2 linked regions of the Schizosaccharomyces pombe genome follow. Changing the gene in region 1 together with any one later gene gives a genetic interaction. Each region holds a gene or a part of one and is shown in the gene's direction. Other genes may lie near its edges.

The links.
Region 2: mutations in hus1 (region 1) and rad57 together harm fitness more than expected from each alone (negative genetic interaction), as found in Schizosaccharomyces pombe (3 studies listed by BioGRID, with this or other methods).

What each region holds. Positions count from the first base shown.
Region 1 is NC_003424.3:4,820,443-4,824,722, reverse strand, and holds hus1 (checkpoint clamp complex protein Hus1), read left to right. Parts: upstream 1-2,019; 5' UTR 2,020-2,144; coding exon 2,145-2,187; exon of another isoform or gene 2,188-2,235; coding exon 2,236-2,344; exon of another isoform or gene 2,345-2,409; coding exon 2,410-2,422; exon of another isoform or gene 2,423-2,476; coding exon 2,477-3,071; exon of another isoform or gene 3,072-3,128; coding exon 3,129-3,232; 3' UTR 3,233-3,736; downstream 3,737-4,280. Other genes in the region: fmp40 (adenylyltransferase), read left to right, coding at 74-1,780. UniProt on the Schizosaccharomyces pombe protein: Essential in controlling the S-M checkpoint that couples mitosis to the completion of DNA replication. It is also required for the response to DNA damage.
Region 2 is NC_003424.3:2,121,485-2,125,051, forward strand, and holds rad57 (DNA recombination mediator, RecA family ATPase Rad57/Rhp57), read left to right. Parts: upstream 1-1,545; 5' UTR 1,546-1,805; coding exon 1,806-1,872; exon of another isoform or gene 1,873-1,967; coding exon 1,968-2,965; 3' UTR 2,966-3,022; downstream 3,023-3,567. Other genes in the region: gpl1 (Gpl1-Gih35-Wdr83 complex RNA-binding subunit), read right to left, coding at 1-724; whi2 (phosphatase activator), read left to right, coding at 3,508-3,567. UniProt on the Schizosaccharomyces pombe protein: Involved in recombination DNA repair and in the repair of gamma-ray-induced damage.

The sequences.
Region 1 (4,280 bases):
AAGTAAGCAAATTTACACTGGGGCACAATCAAACATTGGTATGCAAAGAACATTAATTCGATATACCAATACGATGTCAAAAAAATTGAAGGATCTCCCTGTCAGCTCAACGTTCACATCAAATCTTCCGCCTGATCCACTGGTACCGACCGTACAGGCAATGAAAAAGGCTGATGACAGAATCTTACATGTTCCTCGATTTGTGGAAGGCGGCGGCTTATTTACTTATTTGACTCCATCACTAAAAGCCAATTCTCAATTATTAGCTTATAGCCCTTCGTCCGTGAAGTCATTAGGACTCGAAGAATCTGAAACTCAAACTGAAGCTTTTCAACAGCTTGTTGTCGGTTCTAACGTTGATGTCAATAAGTGTTGTCCTTGGGCGCAATGTTATGGAGGATACCAATTTGGGGATTGGGCAGGTCAGTTGGGTGATGGCCGCGTAGTATCCTTATGCGAACTTACCAACCCGGAAACTGGAAAACGCTTTGAGATTCAAGTCAAAGGCGCAGGAAGAACACCATACTCTCGATTTGCAGATGGAAAGGCTGTTTTAAGATCTAGCATTCGAGAATATTTATGTTGTGAAGCTTTATATGCTCTAGGCATTCCAACAACACAGGCTCTGGCAATTTCCAATCTTGAAGGTGTTGTAGCACAACGTGAGACTGTAGAGCCTTGCGCCGTTGTTTGCCGTATGGCCCCTTCTTGGATCAGAATTGGGACTTTCGATCTCCAGGGGATTAATAATCAAATTGAGTCTTTACGGAAATTAGCCGACTATTGTCTAAATTTCGTTTTAAAAGATGGATTTCATGGTGGAGATACTGGAAATCGCTACGAAAAACTTCTTCGAGATGTTGCATATCGAAATGCTAAAACTGTAGCCAAATGGCAAGCATATGGATTTATGAATGGTGTTTTGAATACTGATAATACCAGTATACTGGGACTATCAATTGATTATGGACCTTTTGGATTTTTAGATGTTTACAACCCATCTTTTACACCTAATCATGACGATGTATTTTTGCGATATTCATATCGCAACCAACCTGATATTATTATTTGGAATTTATCAAAATTAGCATCTGCTTTGGTTGAGTTAATTGGAGCTTGCGACAAAGTTGATGACTTGCAATATATGGAACAACTTCATAACTCTACTGATTTGTTAAAAAAGGCGTTTGCTTATACTTCTGAAGTTTTTGAAAAGATAGTAGAAGAGTATAAAAATATTGTCCAGAATGATTTCTATGATCTTATGTTCAAACGAGTGGGTCTTCCCTCTGACTCATCTAACAAAATTCTGATAACTGATTTGTTACAAATTTTGGAGGATTATGAATTGGATATGCCAAATTGTTTTTCCTTTCTTTCTAGAAACTCTCCCTCTTCAATGGAGAATGAAGAATATGCTGCAAAATTGATGCAAGCATGTATTTGTCTAAACCCGAATAATGAAAGAGTTAGAAATGAATCTGTCAAAGCTTTCACTAATTGGGTTGGTCGATATAGTGAAGCAACGAAAACTCAGGAAGATTCATCCCGATTAGCGAGCATGAAAAAAGTCAACCCACATTTTACTCTTAGAAATTGGGTTCTTGAAGAGGTGATTAAAGAAGCATACATCGGGAAATTTGAGCTTTTTAAAAAAGTGTGTAAAATGGCTGCCTGTCCGTTCGAAGATACTTGGGGGTTTTCCAAGGAAGAAGAGGATTATTTATGCTATAACACTACTCCCTCCAAAAGCCAAATTCAATGTTCCTGCTCTAGCTAGAACCCTTCTTACTTGCCATTTATTTTTTTAATGTAATTTAAAATTTAGGAATAGCTAATCGTATGAAATAAATGATACAACGAATAGGCTCTTGAGTATAATTTTTTTTAGACTCTAAGACTTTTGTAAATCTTTTTAAATTTTATTCATTAATTTTATTCCACTTGCCATTAAAATTTGCATTTGCTTAATAAAGATTGCGATGCAGTTGCTAATGCCCAGTTTGCTATTTCTTAGCTGGCTTTTACGCGTTCGTAGTTTTTTCGACCGAAAATTTATTATTGGTCGACTTTAACCTGCTAAACGCTTGAATAAACAAAATGCCAAAAAATCTCAATCTCATTAGTTAAATCAAAGACTGAAAATGAGATTTAAAACAAGGATTAGCAACTTGTACACGTTGACGCGTAAGTTGGAAAAGATCAGCAGAAAGTTCGTTTACTAATCAAATTTAGGTCTTGTTCAGGCGCTAGATAAAATTGGAAGATTTTGCTGGCTTCGTCTGATGCCTGAAACTGTAAATTTTGTGATAGTGCCAGATTTTAGGATGACTCAAGTTTGGTCGTAAGTGAAGATATTAAGCATTTAACGGTGAAAAAAATCACATTGTGAAACTAATAAAGAAACAGAGTTTTAGAAGTCGTATGATTAACTATCTTTTTCTATTTGATTGCCCTAACTAACGTAAACGGAAAGGAAACAATATTTGAGGACTATGTCGTCCAAAGCAATGCAGACAACGTGATAAATCTAGAAGTTCCTATAGATAATTTCTATAAAGCCTTACGATCAGCGGCCAACGCTAGTGATTCTACTGTTCGTCTATCCAAGAAGAATAACCAGCCATTACTTTCGTTGTCTACCACTTGGAGTGGAAGGGCGTTTGGTTCGAATATTGTGACTCATAATATACCTGTTCGAGTACTATCACAATCATACGTGTCAGTTATTAAGGAACCAACTGCTCCTGAACCAGACTGTCATATATTCCTTCCACAACTGAATTTTCTAAGACACGTCGTGGACAAATACAAGAGTCTTTCAGACCGTATTATAATGTCAGCCAACATGTCAGGCGAATTGCAGTTATCGGTAAACATACCTTCAGCTAGAGTAAGCACAAAATGGAAAGGATTAGAGAATCCAGAGTTAGATCCTAGTCAAGTCGAAGACATCAGTCGACATCCCTCTCAAACAAGGGCACCCGAAGAATTTGTTCACATGAGACTAGACAGCAAGGACTTAGTCAACATGTTAAAAATATCCAGTGTTGCAAAGCGTGTAATAGCGTGTATGTACTATGAGAGAATCCTTTTTATGACCACGAACTAACCTTTTTACATTACAGGTTTCTGTGAAGGACATGCGCTAGTACTTTATGTTTATATAACAGATCCAGAAGATGAACATACGGCTGTTTTAACATACTACATTAGTACCTATGTGGACTAAGGTTACTTCAATTTGTTTATGATTTGATTTAATTAACGAATAATTGTTATGAGTGACTAGCCACATTTTTAATGTACATTAAAATGAAAAGAGATTAATCAACATCTACCATGCTTATACTTATTTTCTCTCTCTTCCTTTATCGATCTTACCGTTCTTTTTTATTTATTTTATACAGTTGTTGTAATCTCGGCAACTCAGTGTTTTACTATTCCGTTGATATCTCTTAAAAGGATAACACCAAAAAGAAATATAATGTTCAAGTCACAGAAAATCTGTTGATAAAATCCATATGTTTTCACGTTTTCAATGAGAGATACATACGATTAAACACAAACGTATGTTTTCAAGCAATTAACTTGAATATGAATAAACCTTGGTTCATCTTTCTTTAATCTTTTAGACAAGCAACTGTTCAGAAATCTATAAAGTCTCAATTGAACATTTAAGTGCTCAATGGGAAATATATACTTAATAAAAATTGAATATTTTAATCGTTTTTTTGAGAAGATATATGCCATTGACTGTAGCTTCTATTAATTTCCGCCTATTCTTTCTTGTACTTTGGAGGCATCGCTATACATTTTACGTAGAAGTGATGAAAATGGCGAGTTCCTCTTTAAAAGTGCGAAAATTTCAGGCTGTCTGTCATCGGAATTGACTATGTTCGATAGTTATTCCTCCTCCGATGCAGTCGGCTACACATGTAAACTGTACCAACATTCAGTACGAAAGGGGCTGAACGTTGTTACCTAGAAAAGTTGGTATCGCAATAGAGGTAACGATAGTGAAAATCCCACAATAACTTAAATATGGAGAGGTATCCGGGGAAATCCGCTACATAAACAACACATATACAGACATATAAATTGACTTAAACGTACCTTCTTTCTATAATAGTTTTACCGTTCCTTAATTGCAAATTCTTTCTTGTTTTCATAGATAGCATTGTTACTATTATTGTTATATATTCAATATAGACTGATAATTAGGATTGTACATTTCGTTTCATTTAGAGAAAAAAAAAAGGAATAATTTTCATGTTTTA
Region 2 (3,567 bases), 2.7 Mb from region 1:
TAAATGGAGAAGCGACTTTTTTTGTAATGTTGATAGATTTATCATACCGCATTTTTGGAGCACCGAGGTCGTATATATCTTGATCTTCTATCCCATCATCATTTAAAACACCTGATCCAAATCCACCGCGCAGATTTTTTGCCATTCCAACTGGTTTTCTTTCCAGCTGAAAAACATCGTCCGCTTGATACCCGATACCGTGATAAGCTTGGTTGGTTAACTTAGTGTCATCATAATACCCTTGAAATGGAGATATAACAAAATCATGACCGTTCCATCCAAGATTTTTTAACATTTTTTCGCCAATGCTATCGTCCCTATTTGAGAATTCTCTAAGTAGAGGATCATCAATTGGTATAGATGTATCAATCGTATTTATTTTCGAAGTATAAACTTTACTAAGCTCTTGGTCAGCACGATCTTCCTCGTCCATAATATCGTCAATAGTCATTCCATGCACACTTTTGTTTTCATTCCTTGAACTTTTCCAAGATTTAGGTTGCCAACCCTCTTTTGAACCAACCGTATTAAAATAGCCAGCAGAAAATCCACCAGTAAATGCACCATGAAATCTCTTTCTATTACGCTCATCCCTGGCTTCTTGTTTCCAAACAGGAACTCCTTGATTAATTCTGGACGGCTCAAGATCAAAAGGGGAGCCATAAACTACATAAGGGTGCCGATGAACATCGACATTGCTTCTTTTTCTTGAATTGGCATACATTTTAAAACAAGAAGTAATCGTGATCCGTAGTTAAACTGAAAAAAAAAAAATTCAAAATTCAAAATTTAAGGCATATTTTAGGATACTATAAGCCCATTATTTTTGAGGCGACAAGAATACTATGTTGAGCAACTTTTAATTTTTAATAAAGCCAGATAACTTATCAAAGAATTCTGATTTGTTGACAAAAGCAATTACAATACTCAATTTTTAAACAGTTGCCCTTGCTTCGAATTTCAGCTGCCTCCGTAGTGCAATCTGCGAGCGTTAGGGTACGTTATTTATCTATTACCTAATTCTTTGTACAGTTGAAGTTTCATGAGATGAAAAATGTATCATGTATATTTTGTCTGTTATTGAGAAATCTCAACAAAGTTCTATTTAGTATTACTTCATGTTGAACCAAGCATTCATAAACTAAGAAATTTGTTGGTAGCTGGTAAACTGAGCGAATTATCGTCGGTTGATTGGTAAAACATCATTTCTTATACTTCGTTTGCTCAACCATACTACGAATTTTAATGCCTAACAATTAATGAGCAATACACATTTGGATATGCTGCTTATATAATTTCACATATCTTGATAACTTAATTATCAATTAAGGAATGGTGGTTAGGCAAGTATGTGTATCATTACGTGGGGTTTTTCATAGATGTATGGTTTGAAGATGTTAAAAAAATAAGTGTAAGCGGTTACTATGCTAATGTTCTATAAAAACCAATGTTCATATAAATATTCGTCGATTGCGGGGCTTCTTCTCATAAGGATTATAATTACTAAACATAGAGGTATTGGCAGGTCAGTTGTAATTCGCGTACAACATCTTCGACTCACCACTTCTATAGTGGTACATAAATTACCGTTTCTTTCTGCGAAAAAGTGGGTTAGAAGTTCGTGCTATTACTTCTAAATAATCGTGAGAATTTAATTCAATCGTAGGATACAAAGCTGTTCATTATATAAAACTATCAACTTTCGAATATTCTATGGTGTGGATATAATTTTCATTTATCTTTATGAGTAAAAACTATACATATCATATTTACAATTAAAAATCTTCTTTCTTTCTACTATATGGATGGATATTTCGAATTATGTTGACAATTTCTACTTTGATGAGAAAATTGCTTCAGCATTTGAATTAGGTAAGCGTTTAGTAGTTCAATAAGCTTGCACATAAAAAAAAAATATTGGGTTTTTGTACCGGGATCTTAAAAGACGGAATTACTGACAGCTTTAGGAGAAGTAAGCACGGTTGATTTGTTAACGCTGGATATTACTGAGCTAGAAAGACGCACACATTGTAGTCAAAGTGAGTTATTACAGTTAATTGAGCAGATATCCCTCCTTCTTCAACCAGTAAGATGTTCTGCTTCCAAAGTCACTTCGAAATATTTGACAACTGGCGATGTAAAGTTGGATGAAACTCTACATGGAGGTATACCAGTAGGACAGTTAACTGAAATATGTGGTGAAAGCGGTTCAGGGAAGTCACAGTTTTGTATGCAGCTTTGTTTAATGGTTCAACTACCTCTCAGTTTAGGAGGAATGAACAAAGCAGCTGTCTTCATTTCTACAGAGTCCGGTCTTGAAACAAAACGATTATTTGAACTGGCGCGTTATTTACCAGAAAGGTATCCCAAAGCTGATAAGAAAGACATAATTATAAAAAATCCAGGAGATAGGGTGTATACTATATTATGCCCAGATCTGGAATCTCAAGAACATATCATTCAGTATCAACTGCCGATTTTATTCAATCGGGATAAAATTGGGTTGGTTATATTGGATAGTGTCGCCTCCAACTACAGAGCTGAGCTCCGTTACAACCGATCCAAAAGTCATTTTAGAGATTTAGATAATATTGCCAAACGTGGAAATCAATTGGGAAAGTTAGCTATGACTCTACGCACTTTAGCTCATCAACATGAAGCTGCTGTTGTCATAGCTAACCAAGTTAGCGATAGAATTCCTAGAGATTATGATGCTATTGGGTTGTTTAGTTTAGATTATCAATCGCAATGGTTTTCGGGATGGGATGACACAGATCCAAATCCCAAAATACCATCTCTTGGTCTCGTTTGGACTAATAACATCAGTACGAGATTAGCATTAATTAAGAAAACCGACTCTGCCACCAATAATTCGGGGAGAATCTTTCGGGTTGTTTATTCACCAAATTCTCCAAGGCTTGACGTACGAATATGCATAGGATCGGTTGGGATATATTCGTGCTAGCATTTTTGTAAAAATTTTATATATAATATAATAAAACCGGTTTATGAATTGCCCTAACTTTGTTTAATCGACTGTCGCTTATCAATCATTCGCAGAAAGAAAAGTAATGCTTTGAGTAACTGTTACATATATAAGTGTACTTATTTATCTTTATATTTATATTACCTCTGTCACTATTAAATATATATTTTGTTGATCTATGATGGTAGTGCATTTTTATTAGAATCCGACATACTTTAGTGGACTGAATTTTGGATATACCAGTTGGGTATTGAAATGGAAAAAAATACAATAAAAAGTTTTACACGTAACAAAGAATGCCCAAAGAGCTCTCTTAACCGACGAATGGCTTTTTCTACCTGTTTTTACTATTGCGCGTAAAAGATTTTGTAAGACCTTTCCGATAGCTTCCGCTATTGGCGATCCTTTAGAAATTTGCACCTAACATTTTTACCAAAAGCCAAGTATGCATTGGTGATATCTTGTAAATAAAAAATGAACATTCTTTTATAACATAATCGTTACAAAAATAGAACACAAAAATGTCAGTTCCAATTGATCGAATCAATACGGTTGACACTTTAGCCAATACACTGGAAAGT